Ovis aries: one gene and its partners. The protein of the gene in region 3 purifies or fractionates together with the protein of the main gene of each other region. This does not show direct contact. Links are inferred from orthologs where the notes say so. Each region holds a gene or a part of one and is shown on either strand. Other genes may lie near its edges. The genes, in order: RBM42, TSR1, SERBP1, PRMT1, DNM1L and LARP7.

What was found.
Region 1: the proteins of SERBP1 (region 3) and RBM42 purify together in Homo sapiens (affinity purification with mass spectrometry; 3 studies listed by BioGRID and IntAct, with this or other methods). This does not show direct contact. The link is inferred for Ovis aries from reciprocal best matches to the Homo sapiens genes SERBP1 and RBM42.
Region 2: the proteins of SERBP1 (region 3) and TSR1 purify together in Homo sapiens (affinity purification with mass spectrometry; 3 studies listed by BioGRID and IntAct, with this or other methods). This does not show direct contact. The link is inferred for Ovis aries from reciprocal best matches to the Homo sapiens genes SERBP1 and TSR1.
Region 4: the proteins of SERBP1 (region 3) and PRMT1 purify together in Homo sapiens (affinity purification with mass spectrometry; 3 studies listed by BioGRID and IntAct, with this or other methods). This does not show direct contact. The link is inferred for Ovis aries from reciprocal best matches to the Homo sapiens genes SERBP1 and PRMT1.
Region 5: the proteins of SERBP1 (region 3) and DNM1L purify together in Homo sapiens (affinity purification with mass spectrometry; 3 studies listed by BioGRID and IntAct, with this or other methods). This does not show direct contact. The link is inferred for Ovis aries from reciprocal best matches to the Homo sapiens genes SERBP1 and DNM1L.
Region 6: the proteins of SERBP1 (region 3) and LARP7 purify together in Homo sapiens (affinity purification with mass spectrometry; 3 studies listed by BioGRID). This does not show direct contact. The link is inferred for Ovis aries from reciprocal best matches to the Homo sapiens genes SERBP1 and LARP7.

Annotation. Positions count from the first base shown.
Region 1 is NC_056067.1:45,665,635-45,668,668, forward strand, and holds the end of RBM42 (RNA-binding protein 42), read left to right. Parts: intron 1-1,904; coding exon 1,905-2,099; intron 2,100-2,178; coding exon 2,179-2,291; 3' UTR 2,292-2,422; downstream 2,423-3,034. UniProt on the Homo sapiens protein: Binds (via the RRM domain) to the 3'-untranslated region (UTR) of CDKN1A mRNA.
Region 2 is NC_056064.1:23,185,566-23,189,270, reverse strand, and holds part of TSR1 (pre-rRNA-processing protein TSR1 homolog), read left to right. Parts: exon of another isoform or gene 1-63; coding exon 64-196; exon of another isoform or gene 197-1,307; coding exon 1,308-1,424; exon of another isoform or gene 1,425-1,804; coding exon 1,805-1,945; exon of another isoform or gene 1,946-2,050; coding exon 2,051-2,125; exon of another isoform or gene 2,126-2,251; coding exon 2,252-2,430; 3' UTR 2,431-2,794; coding exon of another isoform or gene 2,795-2,995; 3' UTR 2,996-3,326; coding exon of another isoform or gene 3,327-3,536; 3' UTR 3,537-3,705. Other genes in the region: SRR (serine racemase), read right to left, coding at 2,795-2,995, 3,327-3,536. UniProt on the Homo sapiens protein: Required during maturation of the 40S ribosomal subunit in the nucleolus.
Region 3 is NC_056054.1:43,070,276-43,074,656, reverse strand, and holds the start of SERBP1 (SERPINE1 mRNA-binding protein 1), read left to right. Parts: upstream 1-1,568; 5' UTR 1,569-1,654; coding exon 1,655-1,967; intron 1,968-4,381. UniProt on the Homo sapiens protein: Ribosome-binding protein that promotes ribosome hibernation, a process during which ribosomes are stabilized in an inactive state and preserved from proteasomal degradation.
Region 4 is NC_056067.1:55,814,446-55,818,150, forward strand, and holds part of PRMT1 (protein arginine N-methyltransferase 1), read left to right. Parts: coding exon 1-11; intron 12-777; coding exon 778-933; intron 934-1,077; coding exon 1,078-1,141; intron 1,142-2,879; coding exon 2,880-3,022; intron 3,023-3,705. UniProt on the Homo sapiens protein: Arginine methyltransferase that methylates (mono and asymmetric dimethylation) the guanidino nitrogens of arginyl residues present in proteins such as ESR1, histone H2, H3 and H4, FMR1, ILF3, HNRNPA1, HNRNPD, NFATC2IP, SUPT5H, TAF15, EWS, HABP4, SERBP1, RBM15, FOXO1, CHTOP, MAP3K5/ASK1, MICU1 and NPRL2.
Region 5 is NC_056056.1:182,666,447-182,670,151, reverse strand, and holds part of DNM1L (dynamin-1-like protein), read left to right. Parts: intron 1-94; exon of another isoform or gene 95-3,084; coding exon 3,085-3,205; exon of another isoform or gene 3,206-3,427; coding exon 3,428-3,583; exon of another isoform or gene 3,584-3,705. UniProt on the Homo sapiens protein: Functions in mitochondrial and peroxisomal division.
Region 6 is NC_056059.1:13,388,066-13,392,562, reverse strand, and holds the start of LARP7 (la-related protein 7), read left to right. Parts: upstream 1-1,679; 5' UTR 1,680-1,835; intron 1,836-4,497. UniProt on the Homo sapiens protein: RNA-binding protein that specifically binds distinct small nuclear RNA (snRNAs) and regulates their processing and function.

The DNA of each region.
Region 1 (3,034 bases), on a different chromosome or scaffold from region 3:
CTTAAATCTATTTCTCACTTCCACTGTATAATCTTAAGGGGTTTGATTTAGGTCATACCTGAATGGTCTAACAGTTTTCCCTACTTTCTTCAGTTTAAGTCTGAATTTGGTAATAAGGAGTTCATGATCTGAGCCACAGTCAGCTCCTGGTCTTGTTTTTGTTGACTGTATAGAGCTTCTTCATCTTTGGCTGCAAAGAATATAATCAAATATAATCAAAATTTCTCACAAAATTTTAAATTTTGCACAGTTAACTATATATCAACCACCTAGATTCAGCAATTAACATTTTGGTATCTTCACTGTAACCCTCCATGTTTATCATTTTTTGGTTTTTGCTCAATCATGTGAAGTAAATTATAAATGAGGTTATCACTTCACTCCTAAATACCTTAGTATTCATCTCCTAAGAAAAGTAATATTTTCTTTCATATCATTACATGGTTAACACATCTAAGACAATTAACAGTAACTGTGTTATCTCATATTCTGTTTATATTGTGATTTTCCCAGTTGTCTCCAAACTGTTTCCTTTTAGCTGTTTTTCCCCTAAACCAGGAGGCATGCAGTTTTGTGCCACTAGATTATCTTTTAAAGAGAATTGTCTCCCTCTCGCTGCTTTGTCTCACTTATAATAGTCTTTTGAAATGTTCAGATCAGTTGGTTTATGGACGGTCCTACCCTCTTAAGTTTGTCAGATTACTTCTGCCTGGGGTGACCTAACTTGTTCAAGAGTGCCCTCAGTCACCACCAAAGCTATGAGGCAACCACAGTGGTAGCTAAGGAAAGGAGCCTAAGTCCCACCCCACTCCTTTACAGCACTGGCCCAGAGGTGGCTAGGCGGTAGACCCTAATTCTGTGACCTTGGACACGTCACTCCGCCTTTCACGCCTTGTTTTCCAGCAAGGAGATAGTAATAGTATATACTCGTGGGGGAAGGGATTCTTTGAGCTTGAGCACATTTGGTCAAGACCAGGCTCAGCCCAGGAGGTTTATCCAAAAATGGCAGCTGAAGTTGACCTTGGAGAAGAATGAGGCAGTGTGTTCAGGTTTCAGGGACTCAAACGGGATCAGAGTGGGCTTTGCAGAGGAGGCAGAGCTGAGGATGAAGTCTGCGGTCCTGGGGTGCCATTATGGGAACCAGTGGGTGTCAGGGGCCCAGGGAGTGTCCATGGAGAGGTGTTCAGGAGGCCAAAGGATGCTGGGGGCTCAGAGGACAGGCCAGGGCTGTGATGACAAAGGTAGGGGCTTCATCACCGGAGTGGGTGAGGTGGCCCTGGGGTGGGGCAGGGCAGTGCCGTTAGTTGAAAGTGAAGGCTCTCGAGCCAGATAGATGCCTGAGTTCTTGTCCTAGCTCTGCTGCTTGCTGATTAACTTTGGGCAGGTGACTTGACCTCTCTGTGCCTTGGCGTATAGGGCTGTTGGGAATGCCAGGTATGTGAAAACTTTATGGATGCTTTGCAGAGAGTCTGCTGCTAAGTCACTTCAGTCGTGTCCAACTCTGTGCGACCCCATAGACGGCAGCCCACCAGGCTCCCCCGTCCCTGGGATTCTCCAGGCAAGAACACTGGAGTGGGTTACCATTTCCTTCTCCAGTGCATGAAAGTGAAAAGTGAAAGTGAAATCGCTCAGCGACCCCAGGGTCTGCAGCCTACCAGGCTCCTCCACCCATGGGATTTTCCAGGCAAGAGTACTGGAGTGGGGTGCTATTTCAGAGAGTCTAGCACAGGGTATATACTATCCAGGTGTTGGCTGTTATAACTAAGAGGACCTCAGGTCGAGACTGCTGGGATACAGAGGGAAGAGGGCTTGGGGGATGCTCCCAGAGAAGGTGGGATCATTTCAGTAAGACAGACCCTGGGCCACACATGTGTATCCTCTGATCTTCCCTCTCCCAACCCCAGATGACTTCCGGATCTTCTGTGGGGACCTGGGCAACGAAGTGAATGATGACATCTTGGCCCGAGCCTTCAGCCGCTTCCCATCCTTCCTTAAGGCTAAGGTGATCCGTGACAAGCGCACAGGCAAGACCAAGGGTTATGGCTTCGTCAGCTTTAAGGACCCCAGTGACTATGTGCGTGCCATGCGTGAGATGAATGGTGAGTGCGGTCTCCCTAGGGTCATTGGGCATGGCAGACATCTGGTCTGAGCCTGACCTTGAACCCTCTCTTCCCACAGGGAAGTATGTGGGCTCACGCCCCATCAAGCTGCGCAAGAGCATGTGGAAGGACCGGAACCTGGACGTGGTGCGCAAGAAGCAGAAGGAGAAGAAGAAATTGGGCCTGAGATAGGGTCTGTGGCCAGGCACCCGCTCCCATCCGGCCGGGCGCTGGTTCCTCCCCACAGTTCTTTGGAAAACCCTCAACTGTCTACCCAGCCATCCTCCCCAACACCAGTTTCAATAAATTTACGTTCATTTCCATCCTTGGCTAGGCTTGGAAGCACTCTTTGGAGAGCCGGGCTTAGCATCCCCCACTCTGGAGACAGTGGGGAGCCTTGAAAGTTTACATAAACATGCAGATGGGTGTTTTCAACGCTGCTACCTGCCCGTTAGATCTTCTTGAAACCTCTTTAAGTGTATACTGAGTGCAGCCCATTCCTCAGAGGAGGAAGTAGAGTCTTAGCGCAAGGTCAAAGCCAAGTGGAGGCTCACCCCAGTGGTCTTCTGATTCCACCCTGTGTTCTCAGCACCAAGGTAGTGGGTCCTCTGGGCCCTGCCCTTCTGGAGCTCAGAGCTTTCCAGGCTTTCATTCATTCATCCATTTTCATCAAGGACCTGGACAGTGTGTGGATACCGTGGTAACAGTGTTCCTAGCTAATGGTTCAGTGGCAGAGAGCCATTGCCAGACAATGAGAGTTAGCAGGGTTGGGATGGGGAACCATCCCGAGGAGTCCAAGGCGGCTTCCTGAAGGCACTGGCCATTTCTGAAACTCTTTCATTCTCTTCCTGTTAATATCATTCTCTCTCCTTATCTCTGCCGTTCTCACCCTTTAGGTCTCTCAGACTTTTCAGTTTCTTCACTCTGCCAAAACC
Region 2 (3,705 bases), on a different chromosome or scaffold from region 3:
TCTTCTTTTACTTTAGGGTGTTCTACTCCTGATAGGAAGTTCTGTTTCTCTACTTGGTCCCAGATGTCAGTACTTAATATGGTGGTGAGCCGGCACCCTGGCAACACTGAACCCGTGAAAGCTAAAGAGGAGCTGATCTTCCACTGTGGATTCAGGCGCTTCCGAGCCTCACCTTTATTCTCTCAGCACACTGCAGGTAAGCAGGGCAGTTTCTGGGTTTTTGTTCATCTTACTGTCTGTTAGGGGACTGTGATTTTGCGGCAGGGGGTGGGAGTGTGGGATGGCGGGGATGGGGTGTGCAGATACAGCATTTCAGACTTTGGTTTAGGAGCCAGTGATGTTTCCATTCAAAATGTCTGAACCTGTCTGAAGCATCCCTGTGATGCAAACTGTGTGGTGCTGAGGCTCCTGTGCCATGAGTATTTGCTGCAGACTTAGTGTTGAATAGGGGTTGGCAGCTTTCAAGAAATGATGTGTCATGGAACTCTTGGCATCTGATGTCCCAGTGGGTGAAGTCTAGGGGGTGGCCCACAGTTAGATAAAGCAGAGGTATATGGCTTCTGAGATCTTGAGATTAGATGAGAGTTTGGACAGTGATGACTAGGGATACTCCTATGACAAAAAGTGATTGTCCTCTTACAGTCTTTAGAGTGGGAAGATATTTGCAGTATGTCAGGGCTTCTGAACGTTACCCACACTCTCAGCCCCCAGCGGTGGCCAGAGGAAGGTGAGAAAAGGCAGTATTAATGGATGCTCTGGATAATTTCTTTGCTCACCAACCATTCTGTCTAAATGAGGGATTGATACTGCCCTTTTATTTCCCTATAACTTTCAGTATTAATTTAAAAAAATGTATTATCTATAGCTGTTTTTGTGCTTTAGTGAGAACTCAGTAATTAGAAGAGATACTTGATGGCCACAAAGCCTAAAATACTTAATCTGATTATAGAAAATGTTTGCCAGTCCTTGCTGAAGACTTAAGAGCTGTTGAATTAGTGTTTTTCTGTAAAGCACCGATTCTTAAATGAGGTAGGGTGCTATGTATCGGGATCACCTGGAGAACTTTGACAAACCCCAAAATACAGTTCAAGCTCCAAAACTGTGCCTCCTACTTGAAAAATCACTCTGCTAGGATAAGGTTGTATTTTTCAGTTGTACAGAGGCCAGAAAATGTTTGGAGAACTAATAGGATAAAGAAACATTAGTTGCCTTAGTTTAAGAGGTCCAGTGATACAGCTTTTTCACAGGCCTCTGGATTACCTATTGTTTCTCAAAATATGTTCTGGTTTTTATTCTTTTAATGACAGCGGATAAACATAAATTTCAGAGGTTCCTGACTGCAGACACAGCCCTGGTGGTGACAGTATATGCCCCAATCACTTTTCCTCCTGCATCTGTGCTGCTTTTCAAACAGAACAGCAATGGTAAGTTGAGTTCACAGAGGTGAATAGCCTGCAGGTCCTTAATAAGATTAACTGCTCTCTGTATTTAAATTTGGGAGTCAGATGGTAACGAAAAAGTAATGATTTTTTTAAAATTATCCCAATTTCAGGATGACAGATGGGGTTTTATCTTGCTTGCAAACCTTAGCTAATCTGTGGAGGTCGCTCAAGGTGCTCTGTTTAGGGTGGGTTCTGAGGACAGGCTCAGCAGGAATATCAGTGATCTCGGCCATGAACTCAGGAGGGCCACATAGTACATCCCCACTGGGTTTCCCAAGATCTCTCATAGGCCTTTAACTAGACTGGACAATAAGTGACGGCTTTGACCAAAAGCCTCCTGCTGCTCTGCCTTCGCCCCTCAGGAATGCACAGCCTCATTGCCACAGGCCATCTCTTGTCAGTGGATCCAGACAGGATGGTCATCAAGAGAGTTGTTCTGAGTGGTCATCCTTTCAAAATTTTTACCAAGACGGCAGTGGTGCGTTACATGTTTTTCAACAGAGGTAGGTGTGACAGAGGGGATCCAGTTCCTTTGTGGGATGAAGGTTGGGTTTATGCATTATGGATAGGTGTTTCACCCTGGCCTTCTGTGTGTTTCTTTACCTAAGAGGATGTACTGTGGTTTAAACCTGTGGAACTGAGAACAAAGTGGGGCCGCAGGGGCCACATCAAGGAGCCTTTGGGTAAGAGAATGCGCGATTGGGAGCTTGTGTAGACTTCCCCAGTGCTGTTAAACGGCCACTGGGTTAAGAGACCACTGCTTTAAAGTCTTCTGTTAATATGACCAATTCATTCTGTTTTCATTCTAGGTACTCACGGTCACATGAAGTGCAGTTTTGATGGGAAGCTAAAATCTCAGGACACAGTACTGATGAATCTTTATAAGAGAGTTTTCCCCAAGTGGACTTATGATCCATATGTACCAGAACCAGTCCCCTGGGTGAAAAGTGAGATTTCTTCAACAGTGCCTGAAGTGGACATGGAGTAACGGATTCAGTGGGATTCTGTCTCACTGCTACTAGTGAGCACTCTGGGGATGGGAGCCTATAGGTTGTGATTGCCCAGTTTGTGCTTTCTACTTAAGCCTACTTAAGGGCTCCTGCTCCTTTGTGCAGAAGACTTTTCTTGGCCCTGAGAAGGTGTCTCAGTTAAGTATGGATGTTTTTCTAGTTCAACTTAGTCCAAAAAAAACCATTAAATCTTACTGAAATACACATTCTCCATTAGGGTTTTGAAGGCTGTTTTAGAGGGGAAGATAGGAACTTGACAATGACCAGGAGACAAAATTTCCAAGTGTCTAGACACTTGAGTCCCTTTTCTTCCTTTTGCACCTATTAAACAGAAACAGATTGCTAAGGAGCTGCCTTTTCATCCTGCTTCTTCACCCAAGTTAGGGAGGTTAAGTCTACATTTCCACCACTGAGCACAATACAGATGTTCTTTACTTCTGCGGGAACTGTTTGAAAATGCTGAGACAGCACAGCGGCCACTCCAACACCAGCTGTAGGTTCAATAAGCAATTTCATCCTCTCCCACACCAGCTGGGTTGCATACTGTCGGTATAGAAGGGAGTAAGAATTAGTGACACAGGAAAAGGGGTAAAGAGCCTAGTTGGTTGGCCTCTATGCTTAAAGGCCAAATGGGGGTGTATGCCCAGTCTGAGTATTCCTGTTTGTGATACGTTTGTGTTTGCCAGTGAAGGGCAGGGCTTTTTTCATTCTGACTTGCTTTACTGTCTTGACACTCGTCTAGAGCACCCTCTCACATGTTATGAAATCACCTAGTCAAGTTCCCTTGTGGGTTAGTTGCCATTTACAACAGGAAGGTTTTTGCCTAATAAGTTGCTCCGCTCTTTTGTTGTTTTCTTTCCTCTTGGAGCCTCACCTTAATTTCATCCTCGGTGACAGTGAAGACATCATCCACGAGGTCTCTTATAATAGGCCAGGTGTTTAAGCCAATGCTGGATTTGATACCATCTGCTATGGTTTCCGGAGGATAGGGGTTGGGGGTCAGTTCCCCTTTGAGTTTGGACTGGTAGCAGTCATCTGCATTCAAGGGTTCAGCAGCATATACCTTCACACTAGGTCTCAGAGCCTAGGAAGAGGAGTATTAGATACCTTACAACTAGACACAGCATTTTGCCGGCATGCTTGCAGTAAAACAGATGGTACAGTTAACACATTTCTGCCCAAGAGCCTTTCTTTTAATCTATGTAATAGAAATAAGGCGTTTAAGCACTTTAAATTGTTTTCTACTCTGGCCT
Region 3 (4,381 bases):
CTTTATCGAGCCCATTTTTTGCATGAAATGTTCCCTTGGTATCTCTAATTTTCTTGAAGAGATCTCTAGTCTTTCCCATTCTGTTGTTTTCCTCTATTTCTTTGCATTGATCGCTGAAGAAGGCTTTCTTATCTCTTCTTGCTATTCTTTGGAACTCTGCATTCAGATGCTTATATCTTTCCTTTTGTCCTTTGCTTTTCACTTCTCTTCAACAACATTTAAATCTTATTAAATACTGGAAATTAATTTATATTGATTCATTTCTATCAGAAGGCAGAGTCTGGATTAAAAAATTGATGTCAGGTGTCTCACAGTGGAGTTAGAAGACTGGAGTTAACTCCTGGCACTTAAACTGTTACAGACGTGAACTTGATTAAGTTATTTCAAATAGGAAATGGTTTCACCTGTGAAAAGGGAAAATTATTTACCTAATAAGTTGTTGTCGTCATTAAGGTTATTCATAGTACCTGGAACATGGAGATGCATTTTCTATATTCTGGTTAATAGGAAAAGGTTTAAAAATTATAATACATTCACCCTCACCGTGTTACCAAATATGCTTGAATATGCATGACACCCTTTTAATGGACTTTAATATTCTCAGCTAATACCAATGAGAATTAAAGACAATTCTCTGACATATTTCTCTCCCCTCACTGCACCTCTTAGCACATCACACATTCAGATGCTCTTCAGATAACATTTTAATGTTATTTCTTGAGTACCTTTTACTAACACCCAATCCTTGACTTGCCTGGCACTAATGTCAGCCTAGGCTCCATAAAGTGTTTCTACAAACAATGCCTTTTGGAGGCTTTCCCAGTGTCTGGCTAGTGCTACACCGCCAGGAGTTAACAATTAAAGCACCGGTCGCAAGACGGCACTTCTCATCCAAGAAAAGCGCGCAACACTCACTTTGCTAGTTCAACTTGTCTTTTGGATTAATTCTGCTGCTAGAGTTCAAGTGGCCGCGAGAAGAAGCGTATTCCGCCTCACATTAAACAGAGACGCTTCGATTCATTATTAGGGCTGCAGGAGGGCAACTGCAGCAACTGGGCAACTAGGGATTTGGAAGAGAGCGGGTTCCACTTCCGCGAGGCCAGTGCAATCTGCCAGCCCTGGAAGTTTGTGAGTCTCCACTTGTAAGACTGATAGTCACCTTGACCCTCCCGGAGAGGTGGGGAAAGTTAGTCCTGGGCCGGAGACGGGGAGTAAAACCGAAGACTGAGAACTTTCGCGAGCAAAACACGCCGTCACGTTTTCCTGTTTTCAGCGCAGCAGGAGACGCCGAGAGTTTAAGGGCGGCGATAGCAGGTGGCAGGACTCCGCCTACCACCGCGCTTCTCCCTCAGCTTGCACACCCCTCTCCCTCAGTGAGGACTCGCCTCTGAGGCGCGCGCGAAGAGTTGTTCAGCCGTGTATTCTGGGAGTTGTAGTCCTGGTGCCGGGAGCCGCCTCAGGAAAAGCGACTCTGGCCTACAGACCCCGTGGTACCGTGCGGCGCTGGCCGCTCCCGGATGTGTGCCTAGCGCCGGAAGAGAAGACAGCCCCCCTCTCTCGGCCCGGCCATCTTGTGGGAAGAGCTGAAGCAGGCGCTCTTGGCTCGGCGCGGCCCGCTGCAATCCGTGGAGGAACGCGCCGCCGAGCCACCATCATGCCTGGGCACTTACAGGAAGGCTTCGGCTGCGTGGTCACCAACCGATTCGACCAGTTATTTGACGACGAATCGGATCCCTTCGAGGTGTTGAAGGCAGCAGAGAACAAGAAAAAAGAAGCCGGCGGGGGCGGCGTTGGGGGCCCTGGGGCCAAGAGCGCAGCTCAGGCCGCAGCTCAGACCAACTCCAATGCGGCGGGCAAACAGCTGCGTAAAGAGTCCCAGAAAGACCGCAAGAACCCGCTGCCCCCCAGCGTCGGCGTGGTTGACAAGAAGGAGGAGACGCAGCCGCCTGTGGCGCTTAAGAAAGAAGGTAAAGCAGTGGTAGAAGGTGGGAGACACCCGGGATGGAGGGAAGGAGCGAGGAGACTTGCGGCTAACACTCGCTTCTGGGGCTCCGAGGGTTCGCGGGAGACTTGGCCACTGATATCCCGGCGTTTCCCTCAACGCGACAAAAGCCAGGTCCTGCGAAGGTGTTGGGAGCGTGTTAAGCCCAAGTTCAAACCGCCACCTGCAAGGATACTGGAACCACCCCTTCCCGCCTCAGGTCTGAGCCGAGAAGCGTGGTCGGGATCCTGGGAGGCTGCTGCCTTCCCGCCGGATTCCTTGGCGGGCGAGCGCATGGACCGAGGCTCGGTGAAGGGAGCCACTCCTCGGAGCACTTGTAGTGAAGCGGACAGCGGGGGCTCCGCGGCTTCTTCCTGCTCAGAGCTGCCCCCTCAGTCTGCTGCTCTGAGGTGAGGTTGTCTCCTTCAGGCTACTCTCTTGCCATCTTGTCCCAGGATGGCGCGGGGTACGCCCGAAAAAGAGGGTCGAGTTTTCTGCCCGCGCGCACACCTCTCCGCAGGCATGTTCGAACCGCTCGGATATTGTGGGAAAAGCTGCCCTTTTAGGTGCACACGTGCTTTATTGTCCACCCCTCGCCCCCTCAACTATTACAAACTTAATAACTTGCTGGAGTGACTCAAGCTGTTGGGAGAGGAATTTAGCCCCTCGGGATTGACCAGAAGCGGGAATTCTGAATGAAAACGTGTTGGCAGGAAATCCTGAAACTCGTTCTCGAGTCAAGATCTTTTTATCTACCCCGTCGAACCCCCGCGGACCCACCTCCCCACTGCACGCAGTGTTTCGTGTGGTGTGCCCCTGGCGCGAGCCTCGTGGCTGTCACAGCGGTAGCCACCGCTGAGTCCTTTTGAGTCTATGGCTTTTTCTCCCCATGTGCGTGAAGCGTGGTCGGGATTTCATTGGCGGGTAGTAGCTGCTTCCAGGTCATTGTAAACTTCGCGGGATTGCCTTGAACTTGGTGTTTGCACTCTCCCTCATTGCTGGTTTCTCTTTGGTGGTGGGTGAAAAAGCATAGCAGTGAGGAGTAAGGAAAAATCTTACAGATCCGAAGTAAGTAGGTGTAGGACCTAAGTTCTGAATCGTAGAGATTACCTCTGTGTGTTGAAAGTTGAAATTTTGCCACGTGCTTCAGAAAGGAGTTCTGAGCTTTAGTTGAATTTGATAGCTAGCGTTCAGCTAATTTGAAAATGAAAACAATTGTGTTAGGTTTTGGTTTAGAATTTTTAAGAAATAGAACGTTTTGAGGCTTGGGATGAAGAACCTAGGTGGTAAATAAAACAATTATATTAAAATTACAGGTTGGAGAGGGAAGCACACGTTGGAGTATTAGCATGCATCTTTGAGGCTAAATACTCGGCTAATCTTTATAGCAGGCTCTATAGGCTGTAGCACAATGTAATAAATCGTTTAATTTCTATGTTAAGGAACACTGACTTGTGTAGTCATTTAAACTGTGCTCAAGTTTACCTCCTGTATCGCTAATTCAAAGAAGGTACATGAAAAAATGGAATCTGAAATGTGTTCACTCGTTTTGAATGTTCAAAACATGAGGTGTGCTTTAAACCCCTCAGTTTGATCATAAAGTCCGTTTATGAAATAAACTTTTACCTGGAACCTAGTATTTTAAATTATAAAGTTATTTCATAAATTTATGAGCAGGATTACGTTTACCATTCAGTAGTCAAATTCAATAATTTCCATTATTAGCTATCAACATTTTCCTTAGGTCAGCATTTCAGAGGACACTTAGGCTTAAATTGCATAAAACACAGGTTATAAAAATGTTGAATGAAAAAAGTTCATTTTGAGAGCCTACTATGTAGCAATCATTTCTGGGCATTGGGGAAGTATAGACCTGTAAACAAAAGTCCTGGACTCTTGTAGTAGGAGGGATTGTTAACCTGATCATGTGTTCTGTGCCTTTGAATAGGGGTCCTGGCACAATCAGATATGCTTTAGGTAGGTATTTACTGTTTATATTCTATGAATTTTGTAGTTTATCTTTTGCCCACTTGAGGAATTTGAGAATGGACACCACTGAACATCGCTAAGGTCTATTCTTGTTTGTTTTTTCAATGTTGAAAGCCTGGAATATAGTGAAAAATCTAGAGACACATTTTTAAATGTCAGTTGCTGCGTGGATTTATTTGTGTTTTAGATTCTGTAAGCCTGATAACTGAATATTGGAGTGTGGAAGCAAGCCATTGTTCATCTGGGTGTGTGAGGCTTGGATATTATAAGAACTGGTTCTGTAGCTCCACCCCATACACTCACTACCTCTGAAGAAATTTTTTTAAATGCCTCGGTGTAAGGTCTAATGTTTGTGTCCTGTCCTGAGAGTTTATGTGGAACGGACCTTAAAATTTCAGAGTTTGACGTTTA
Region 4 (3,705 bases), on a different chromosome or scaffold from region 3:
GCATCCACGAGGTGAGTATGGACAGACAGCTCCTGAGGGTGCCGAATCTTCCAGGGGGTCATGTTGGGGAGAGCTGGAGATTCATCTCTGACGCATGCGCACTGCCTTCCCTGGCAGCGGGCCACCCCCTCTGCGCAGGCAGAGCTCACACTCCGGGTCGCCTCGCGCAGCCGTTGCCTGGGAGACGGGGTTAGCCTGGCGCTCTACCAGTCCTCTCCTGGGAGGCCGCGGTGGGAGCGCGCATGTGCATCGCATGTGCATCTGAGACGCATGTGCATCTGAGACGTCAGCCCGAGGTCAGGGCCTACCGGTCTTTGCCGCCCTCTAGTGACCGGCAGCGGCTCGAAAGTCTTCTCCACCCCTTTTGCGTGTGGTGGAGGCTGAGGTCCCAGAAAGCAGCAGGGATGGGGTGGGAAGATTTTTCTCTTTCCTTTTTTAAAATATTGTTATAAAATATGCATAACAAAATTTACCATTTTCACGTGGGCGGTTTAATGGCTTTGGCTTACTGAGGACTTTTTAAAGGCAAGGCTTTACAGGGGGTTAGTCGGCAAGGGTAGAAAATGCCTAAGATGGGATTTTGGTCCATCCAGTCCAATTTCACGTAGGGAAACTGAGGCGTGTGGAAGGGAAATAACTTGTCCTAAGGGGACTAAAGCAGGTTTGAGGACTGAGTGCCAGTCTTCAAGTTGATCAGTGTGTTGGAGGCCAGGACACCCTGGTTTTCAGCAGGGGACGCCAGTCCCCTCATGATCTCTTTGTTCCCACCCCTGCCAGGAAATGCTGAAAGATGAGGTCCGCACCCTCACATACCGCAACTCCATGTTTCACAACCGGCACCTTTTCAAAGACAAGGTGGTGCTGGACGTGGGCTCGGGCACAGGGATCCTCTGCATGTTTGCCGCCAAGGCTGGGGCCCGCAAGGTCATCGGGGTGAGTGTCCTCGGCGGCCGGCCAGGCCTGGGCCTAGGGACGGAAAGGGGGCCCCTTGGGGCTCAGGGATTGGGTGGAGGGGAGTGGGGGTGGAGGGTGGCATTTGGGGGGGGGTCTCACCCTCCCTTCTTCCTGGGCCCCCAGATCGAGTGTTCCAGTATCTCTGATTATGCGGTGAAGATCGTCAAAGCCAACAAGTTAGACCATGGTGAGCCCAGGAAGAGAACGGGGTCTTTGGGGAGGGAGCGGGGGATCCCAGCTTCCCCGGGGCCCCTGGCAAGGGAATGGAGGCCATAGAAGTCAAATTCAGGCGTTCCTCCCCCGGTGGGCTCTGGGCTGCGGACAGCCCAAAAATCCAGCCTTCTCAGAACCTACCTCCTGACAAGCCGTCTTAGAATCTGCATGTCGAAGTCACAAGCTTAGTGCTTCAGTCTTTTATTTAAAAAAACAAAAATTTCAAGAAGCAATCTTGAGTTTTTTCAGTGAGTGATAGAGTCACGTGGTTGGCACATGAGGCCCATAGTAAGAAGTCTGCCACCCGCCTCTCAGCCACTCTTCTCTAAGTGCAGACAGCTCTCTCTCCCAGAGAGGTTCATACCGATGAACAAACGTGTGTGTATGTTTCTGCATTCACATGCTGGTTTTTGACACAGATAATGTTTCATACATGCCCTTTGTGATTTTCACCTGTGTATTATGTAGTTTAACACCTGATAGGATGTTGAGAGGATCTTGCTTTTTGATGACTGCCATCCTCTATTTTCACATACACCAGGTCTGTTAACCAAGTTCCTGGTCATGGGCATTTGAGCTTCCAAGACTTTCATCCCCCACCTGTAATGTCATCATCAATCATATATGAACTAATGTTATCTGTGAGGTCAGTTTGTAAAAGTAGGGTTGCATGGATCAAAAGTGGAAGAAAGTTGGGCAGAAGGTGCCACATTGCCCTTCCCACCTGCAAGGTTTGAGGGGCAGAGGACATGGGAACATGTGGGTTTTTTGATATGAGGGCCCTTGGCATTCTAGAAGCTGAAGGGGTTTTTTTTGAAAAAGAAATTAGTGTAATGAATTCCTAAGTTCCCATCACTGAGCTTTAAATACCTCCTTTTGAAGCAAATTCCGACTATAAATCCTGCCATGTGTGTATCTAATAGATTTTAAAAAATATTTAAAAAAGCATGACCACGGGAATTTCCCGGCAGCCCAGTGGTTAGGACTGCTTTCACTGCTAGGGCCCCACTTCGATCCCCCGTCAGGGAACTAAGATCCCACAAGCTACACAGTGCAGACAGAAAAACAAAACGTGACCGTGGCTGTTAGTGGCAAAATCTCTCTCATTTTTAAAAAAAATTTTACTTTGCTGCGTCAGGTCTTAGTTGCAGCGTGCGGGATCTAGTTCCCTGATGAGGGGTTGAACCCCAGTCCCCTGTCCTGGGAGCATGGACTCTTAGCCACTGGACCACCAGGGAATCCCAAGGCTGACTTCCAGTAGATTTTAGGAAGGGAGCTGCTCTGCCCCGTACAAAACCCTGACCCAGAAGCAGGTCATCTGCAAATGGTTTGGCACCAGGTTCCCCATGAGTGTGCGAGGCGTGACGGGTAAGGGGGTGGCTGCCTTTCCCATTCTGTGTCCTAGAGTGAGGGGCTGTCTGCACCGGGCCCTGGTCCTGCCTGCTAATGGCAAAATCTCAATGTCACCTCATACCTGATTCATGTCAAGTTCTGTTCCTGCCTCAGAAATACCCCTTGATGAATGAATTTTAAAAACTTAAGTTGACAGGGTGTGACTTCAGCTCACAGAGTTCTTTAAAGATGCCCCAACACAGCCCCCAGCCCTTCCTTGAGAAGACAAGGCTGTCCCGGTGGGGTCCCCAGGCCCCCAGGGGAGGCAGGCAGACGGCTGTCCTCAGGGCTGGTGGCATGTGCCCTTGTCTGCCCCGCAGTGGTGACCATCATCAAGGGGAAGGTGGAGGAGGTGGAGCTCCCGGTGGAGAAGGTAGACATCATTATCAGTGAGTGGATGGGCTACTGCCTCTTCTACGAGTCGATGCTCAACACCGTGCTCTACGCCCGGGACAAGTGGCTGGTGAGGCCCCAGCGGGGCGGGAGCGGCTCGTGCAGGCCGGTGTGGGGGTCCAGGCAGAAAAGGGAAGCTGTGCTCCGTACTTCCCACCACGGGGACTGAGTACAGGGCTTGGAAGACATCTACATGGATGTTAGGAGGCCCACGGGCAAGATGGAGGGGGCCCAGTACCGGAAGCTAGACAGGGACAGGGAGATGGTGCTGGAAAAGAACCACAGCAGGCCAGAGGGATTAGGAGGGACTGTGGACCCAGGTGCTGTCAGAGCAGGCCTCCCAGGGAGCTGACCGAGACCTGAACCCCGGACGGGGAGGAGCCACATGGGATCTGAGGGGCAAGGCACACTTAACAGAGGATTTCGGCCAGTGCAAAGGTCCTGGGGCAGCAGCGAGTTCGCTGTGTAGGGAACTTGTAGGGAACCTGCAGCAGAACACGGATCGGGAAGGAAGTTGGAGGTGAGGGGCGGGGGTGGGCCTGTGCAGGTCTCATGGGACCTCGTGGATGTGTAAGACTTTGCCTTACTCCTCAGAGGGGCGAGGTTAGGACGAGATCTGACTTAGATGCTCCTCAGAGCCATCAGGCAGCTATCTGGGGAGTAGACTGAGGCTGGGCACCAGTGAGGAGGCCGAGACAGGAGCCCACCTGGGAAGTGCTGAGCTCAGACCAGGGTGGTGTCAGGGGTGGATAA
Region 5 (3,705 bases), on a different chromosome or scaffold from region 3:
TATAACATTTTCTAATTTTAAAAAGTTTGTTTCTTTAATATGGACAACAACATTGTTCATGAAAAAATAAAAAAGTACAGATAAGTAAAAAGAGTAAAGTATAAGGATAAAATTCCTTTTATTTCCATCATCCAGAAATAATCCCTATTATTTGGCATTAATCTAGACATTTTTCTATGTATTTATAAAACATAAAAAATGCCTATAATACACATCTTTAAAAATCAGATGCTACAGAATCATTTCTTTAAATCAACTTGTCACAAACAGCTAGTAGAAATTGCATATTTGTATTTTCAGCCTTAAGATTTACATAGTATTTTACTTTTTAGATTCGTTCAGTGAGTCCCCTACTCTTGATAGTTTGCTTTCAGTTATACACAAATATATACAGTGTTGTGATGGACTATCTTTGGAGCATGTATTCAAGTAAATTCTTAGGGTAAATTTCTAGAAGTAGAATTACTAGATCAAAAGGTATATTATATTCTCAACATCTTTTATCATTGCTATATTAGTAGTGAGTGCTAAGTTGCTTCAGTCGTGTCTTGCTTTTGCAAATCTATGGACTGTAGTCCTCCAGGCTCCTCTGTCCAGGGGATTCTCCAGGCGACGATGCTGGAGTGGGTTGCCATGCCTACCTCTAGGAGATCGTCCTGACCAAGGGATCAAACCTAGATCTCTAACGTCTTCCAACATGTTCGGAGGTCTCTAACATCCTCCTGCATTGGCAGGCAGGTTCTTGACCACTAGTGCCACCTGGGATGTTAGTAGTAAATTGTATTGTTTTACTAGTAGCAATATATAAGAATATATTTCTCTGAACTCTCACCTTTAAAAAGCCTTTTAATTTTGAAAAATAACTATAGATTTCTAGCAAGTTGCAGATAAATGTACAGAGAGGTCCATTCACCCTTCACCTCCCAGCACTGACATCCTGCATATCTGTAGTACAATAACAAAGCAAGAAAATGGACACTGGTACAATCCACAAAGTTTATTCAGATTTCACCAGTTACACTTCATGTGTGTGTGTGGGTGTACAGTTCTGTGTACTTTCATGTGACCCTGGTAGCCTTCTGTGTGAGTTAACTCCATAGAATATTTATATCTTTGTAATTATCTAATCAAGCCTCATTAGAACATTGAAGAGAGACCATTTATATCTCTTTCAAGGATTGGGAGAGCTCCAGATTGGGAGAGCTCCATAGTTAGGAATGCATTTGGGTTGGGCTGTGAATAGAATATGGCGAAGGCCGTAAGCAGTAAGTAGAAGGGTATTTTAGGCTTTGGAATAGCAAAGAATAGTTCAGGGTGAATTTGGAGAATGGCAGGTACAGTGATGGGTTGTAACAGGAAGTAAGGCGGGAAAGGTGTCTAATAAGAACAAGACTGTGGAAAGTGTAATATGTCAGAGTTTGAAGAGCTTCCTACTATAAAAAAATGATAACATTTTTGGTCACAGGAGTTCCCCACTTTAGAAGGGTAATTCTGGTCATTATGGAAACTATTTGGAGAAGGTAAAGGTTGGAGGCAGAGAGACTAGTTACTGGTAATTTTAACTATTTTAAAGTATAATACATACTACTAGGTATATTCACAATATTGTACAGCCATCAAATAGTATCTATTTCCAAGATTTTTCATCATCCCAACAGAAACTCTGTATCATATAAACAGTGATACCTGTCTTCCTCTCTTCTCCTAGCCCATGGTAACCTCTGACTTAGTTTCTGTTGATGTGAATTTCCCTATTCTAGATATTTCATATAAGGAGAATCATACAATATTTGTCCTTTTCTGTCTGGGTTATTTCACTTAGTATAATGTTAGGCTGGTACCTTCTGCCTAGACTACTGTAAGAAAGAAGTGAAAAGTGATGGTAAAAATAGAGAAGAATGAATGATTTGGGGGGATATACCATATCTGTAAAGTTTCAACTGGACTTGAATGAAAAAAATAAAAGATAATACCAGGATTTCTAATCATTAAGACAGGAAATGCAAGGTATCCAGTATGTAGGCCTAGAGATTTAATTTGTTTAAAGCAAGGATAAGCCCATTGACTAAGAATCATTTTTACATTTTTTAAATGGTTGAAAAAAAATTCAAAGAATTTTTAATGTAGTGTATATGTAAAATTCAAATTTTAGTGTGTGTAAGTTTACGGGAACATAGCTATGCTTATTTGTTTACGTACAGTCTGTGGTTGCTTTTGTGCTCAATGGCAGAATTGGCGAGTTGTGACAAAGGCCTGAAAAGTCTAAAAGTATTTAACTGGCCTTTCATAGAAAAAGATCGCTGATCTCTACTCTAGATTGTGAATAAATAGAAATTAGTTAGTTCAGTTGCTCAGTCATGTCCAACTCTTTGCGACCCCATGAACCGCAGCATGCCAGGCATCCCTGTCCATCACCAGTTCCCAAAGTTCACCCAAGCCCATGTCCATTGTGTTGGTGATGCCATCCAACCATCTCATCCTCTGTTGTCCCCTTCTCCTCCTGCCCTCAATCTTTTTCAGCATCAGGGTCTTTTCAAATGAGTCAGCTCTTCGCATGAGGTGGCCAAAGTATTGGAGTTTCAGCTTCAACATCAGTCCTTCCAATGAACACCCAGGACTGATCTCCTTTAGGATGGAGTGGTTGGATCTCCTTGCAGTCCAAGGGACTCTCAAGAGTCTTCTGCAGCACCACAGTTCAAAAGCATCAATTCTGCGCTCAGCTTTCCTTATAGTCCAACTCTCACATCCATACATGACCACTGGAAAATATCCTTAAGGAGTGCATGGTTTAGTTGAGAACTAGAGCAGAGAAAAACGTTTAGTCGTTCTTAGTTAACTGATGTTTTCTGACAGTACAGTTTACTCTGTGTGTGCACGTGCACATGCATATATGAATGCCGTTTGTGAAATGACTCCTTTCCCCATTAAAAAGATTAGAGTAATTGGTTCATAATACAGTTGAGAATACATGGAAATGGTCTAAATGTAATTTTCCATAATCTTACTGCTTACAGAAAGACTTCTAGTTTGTAGTGTCTTTCCCTTTTAGTAATACTAGAAATCATATATTTCATTGCCTTTCAGATGTGGTGGTGCTCGAATATGTTATATTTTCCATGAGACTTTTGGGCGAACCTTAGAATCTGTTGACCCTCTCGGTGGCCTTAACACTATTGACATTTTGACTGCCATTAGAAATGCAACTGTGAGTATGCTTAACTTTTAGAATTTTTTGAAATGAGGTTAAAGATTATTTTTTAATCCATATATATTTTTTAACGAATGGTACAGTTTGTTATTTTGCTCTTATTCTTGAAATTAGGAAGTACTTTTCATGAAAAAATACCCAAAAATGTGATTTATTTTAACCTTAGGAAAGAACCAAAATTACATGTAGCTATAAGAGCTCATAATTTTCTCTTTTTAGGGTCCTCGTCCTGCTTTATTTGTGCCTGAAGTTTCATTTGAGTTACTGGTCAAAAGGCAAATCAAACGTCTGGAAGAGCCCAGCCTCCGTTGTGTGGAACTGGTTCATGAAGAAATGCAAAGGATCATTCAGCACTGTAGCAATTACAGTACACAGGTATTGAGAAATGTAACAGGTTTCTGATTAGGTAGTAAAAGACATGAGGTGATGGTTTCAAGGGGTAGGAGGAAATATAGAAGATGGGCTAAAAGTTAAAATTTTAGTTCCTTACCTAAAAG
Region 6 (4,497 bases), on a different chromosome or scaffold from region 3:
GTCCCATGATATAGTTCACAGCACAGGGCCAGACCTACAGAGGCACTGCCTTTCAGAAATATAACTCCATATCCTAATCCCTCCCCTCCAGCTAACAGGATTGACAGATGCCTAGTGAATGCCAAGAAGATAACAGAGGTCCAAAGAAACACATAGTTGACTGCTGGTTGAACAGCAACTTGCTTCTAGCCACTGAATGGGTTAGACATCAAATATATGTAGATAAGACTACATAGTGTCAACACAATGCTTGGCATGTAGCAGTTAACATTAGATCCCTTTAATAACAGTTATTATTTATTCAGTGTAAATTATATGCTAGAACACTGTTAAAATGCTTTAAATTTTACACCTTATAGTACAGATACTACTTTTTATATTCATTTTACAAAAACAGGAAGTGAGGTACATCAGTATGTAATTTGCCTAAGCTCATGAAGTAAATAAATGGCAGATTCAGAATTTAAAACTAAGTAGTCTAAATTCTGGTGTTCCCATTCACAAAAACTACATTATGTGACTATGGAAAACCTACTGTAACAGGCAAGAATGGGACTGGATTCTTTACATATAATATTTATCAGTCTCATAGTCCTAAAAGTTGTTATTACCATCACAATTTACAGGTTAGAAATCCAGTATTTACTTCTTTAGGATTACTTATATGCTGTTTACCAACTGCAAAATAAATTCCCCCATTGTTTTCCTAAATTAGAAATATTACTTGAGGGATTTGCGATGTAAAAGGTATTGAGACGGTCCTAACTCTTGTTAAGTGGTAGATTAAAGAATTACACTTCAAAAAAAAGGGAGAGATTAAATGTTTTGCGATAATTTAGTACAGAAATACATACATATCTTCACACACATTATTGTGCTGTTTTTTAGATTTATGTATAAAATTCGGTGTTATCACTAAAATATGACCTGTTCTTGCTAAGTACGATGAGATGTTTTTGGTCCTTTTCTTTTGGAACAAGCAGGATCTTTCGAATCCCTAAGTGGTTCACAGATTTAAAAATTTAAGAATCACGAGCCCAATAGCCTTTTAAGAAACGGTCCAGTCCAGACAACCAAAAGATGCTCACATTTCATTTGCCAACGTTCTAATTATCACTAGCTTGTGTAACCAGATGACAATGAAGAAGGGACCCTTTGTCAGTCCTAAAAATAAACAGCAAAACCATCCCGGGTTCTCACACGGATACCGGAACTGCCCAGCAGGAGTTGGGGGAAGGTGGTAAAGACGAAGCACTAATTATTTACAGGTTGCTGCGCCAAGCCGTGAACCAACCTTATCTCCACACAGTTTCGTTACCGAACCCCGTCTGGCGGAGCAAACTCCTTCGCCCGTCGCATCAAAATCAGTGACAGCACCTCGAGCTCAAAACTCCAGCCTATCTACCCTCAATCCCCAGAAACTCCCGAGTGGAAACAGCTCTTTTAACTTGCTCATTGCACAAAACCCACTTTCGAACTTCTCCCGCGAAAAGCCGTGACATCATCAACTCGCGACCGCACCAGATCCAACCCCACTATTTAGCCCGCCCACCACGGCTCCGGACCTGAATGGCCGTTTTCAAACTGCCAATCAAGTTCCTCTTTGGCTGCTAGCCTCTGTGGCGACTGCGTTCTCCGATGTCCCGCCCCCACGCTGAGCGGGCCTACGCCAGTGACGTAAATGTCGGTCGCACAACCTCTGGGCCCATCTTTTCCAAGGCGTTCGGAAGAATTGTCGCTCATGTGACGCTAAAATAACCACGACTATAAGGTTCGGGGGACGCGAAGGACTGAAGAACGCAGTCTCTGGCGCTGTATTTTGGGAATTGGACAGAGTAAGTTCTAAGTGGACTCTAGGGAAGCCCAGGTTGGGTGAGATCTAAATTACTCTCAGTCTTTTTCTATGCCGGTCCTTTCTGTCATCTCTGGTCCTTCTCATCCCGCCCCCTCCCACCAACCCATCAGTTAGATTGCCCTAGTGTCCTGGTTCTCTGTGCGCACGCGCAAGAGTCCTCCGGCAGCCCTTGCAGTTCCAGTTTTCTAGTGATTGGGGGCGCTTGCCGCCCGGTTTTGGGAGGTTTGGGGTAGTCCCGCGTCTGACGGCTTCCTTGAGGAAGGACGGGTACCTAAAGGGGCAGTAGTCAAAAGGGGAATTGCTTTTCTTCGCAGATTCGAGTTTTGGTGGCCAAACGATAGCGAATGTGGACTTGTATTTTTAAATTAAGTCATTTCCTTTTTCAGAACTTTTGTCTCTGTCATTCAGAGAGCTGAACATCCAGTTATGGAAGGAAGAAAAAATACAGTGTATTATTGAGTGCGTTAATAGACATACTTAAAAGGGAAACAGATGAGGCGGTTGTTTAGGGGAAATGTGCTAGCAGAAAGCTAGAAAGAGTAAGATGCCGTTTAACCTGGGCCTTGAAAATTGAATAGGACTTGATAAGACAAGGAAGACAAGAAGCTTTTAAAGCAGAGGCACAGAGACAAGAAAGTAGGCAACGCTGGATAGTCAGATGTGACTAGAACTATAGTTCTCTTAACCTTTTTGACACACCATTTCCTTTTAAAACGTGATTTAAAAGATATGGATGAGCCTCCCAGGAAAATACATATACATCTCTAAATATTTTCTATAACCTTTTAAAGAAAAATTGTGAAAGACGTTGAAATAGCCAAAAAAAAAGAGGTGTCTAGCTTACTTTTCCAGCTTACCTCTGCTTTTCATTGTCATTGAGCTATGTTACAATTATGTAAGTTATAATTGAAATAAGTCTTAAGAGTTATTGCCCTGATTAGTGTTACATCTGTTAACAAGTTCATTTCAATATTTTTGCTTGCTTGTATTTGCGCTTGTCTAGTTTTTGAGTTCACCTTTGAACTGGTTTTTAGCACTTAACTAGTTCCCTGGTTAATTACTTAAATAAAATGATTGACGAGTTCATTTTATAAACGTAGAAAAGTCATGGTTTCACCTTTAAAATTTACCTTTGAAAATTTCGTGGGATTTACAATAATTTTTGAAATCCATCCCAAATTCCATGGATTTCAGGTTAAGAATTTCTGAGCCAGGAGAGATGGACTTGTGGACACAGCCGGGGTGGGGAGGGAGAGAGTGAATGAATGGAGAAGGTAGCATCAACAGATACACACTACCGTGTGTAAAATGGATAGCTGGTGAGAAGTTGCTGTATGACACAGGGAGCCCAGTCTGGTGCTCTGTGATGACCTAGAGGAGTGGGATGGAGAAAGGGGAGGGAGGCTCAAGAGTGAGGGTATATATGTATATTTATGACTGATGGTGGCGCTACTGTTAAAAAAATCTTGCCTCCCATTGCAGGCGATGTAAGATGCAATGTTAGATCCCTGAGTCAGGAAGATCCCCTGGAGGAGGGCATGGCAACCCACTCCAGTATTCTTGCCTGGAGAATTCCTTGGACAGAGAGGAGCCTGGATGGCTGCAGTCCATGGGATCACAAAGACTCAGACACTGCTGAAGCGACTTAGCACGAACACACAGATGGCTGATTCGCGTTGTTGTACAGCAGAAACCAACACAACATTGTAAAAAAAAAAAAAATTTAACAATTTAAAAAAAGGATTTCTGAGTCAAAACGTAGACTACATGGTAAGAGGTTGCAAGAGGTTCTACTAAAACTTAGGCAGTGTGAAAGTTAAACATACCTGAGCTTACTTACCTAGCTAGCTTTAGCCAGGTCACTTAACCTTTGAGCCTTTGTAAAAAGTTAAGAGAAATAACCTAGAGGGATTATGAGGATTTAAAACAAGGTGTGTAAAGTAACTGGTGTTACACAGTAACTTTTATTCTTTGTTTAAACCCTATGAAACTAGTTGATTCATTTAACAATTTTTTAAAAATATATGCTGTGTTACCAAAAGATGCTAAAGAATTATTATTGTTGAAAGTTTTAGCATTAGAGTCACAAAATTAGACCTGTGTTTAGACAAGTTACACAGCTTCTGTGAAGGATGGAGGACTTCTCAAACAATTTATAAACAATTTCCGTATTATTATAACAGTAGTTGTGGAAAACACTGGATGAAGATAAGAGCCATTCCAAAGGTTACATTGATAGGGATTAATGACAGATTGGTAAATGATAAAATGATAATAAATAACAGTTAGATATTGTTGACTGTGTGCTGTATAGCAGCAATGGAAAGTGCTTTATCCATTTTGGTTAATTTTTAAAACAACCCTAGTATGTCAGTATAAATTTTATTCCACTTTGTAGATCGTAGAAAGTTGAGTTAACTTGCCCCAAATCCATACAGCTAGTAAATAGCTCGACTGGTTAACTAAGTAGAATATGTCATCCTTAAAGAAAATGAGGGTGGTGAGAACAGCAGAACAGACATTGCTAAGAAAGATAAGAACTTTGATTTGGAATGTATGGAATGACAGTATACCTATTTGTTATCATAGGACATTGAAAAAGTAAACTATGACTATCATGTAACTTCCTGATCTTCTGCAAC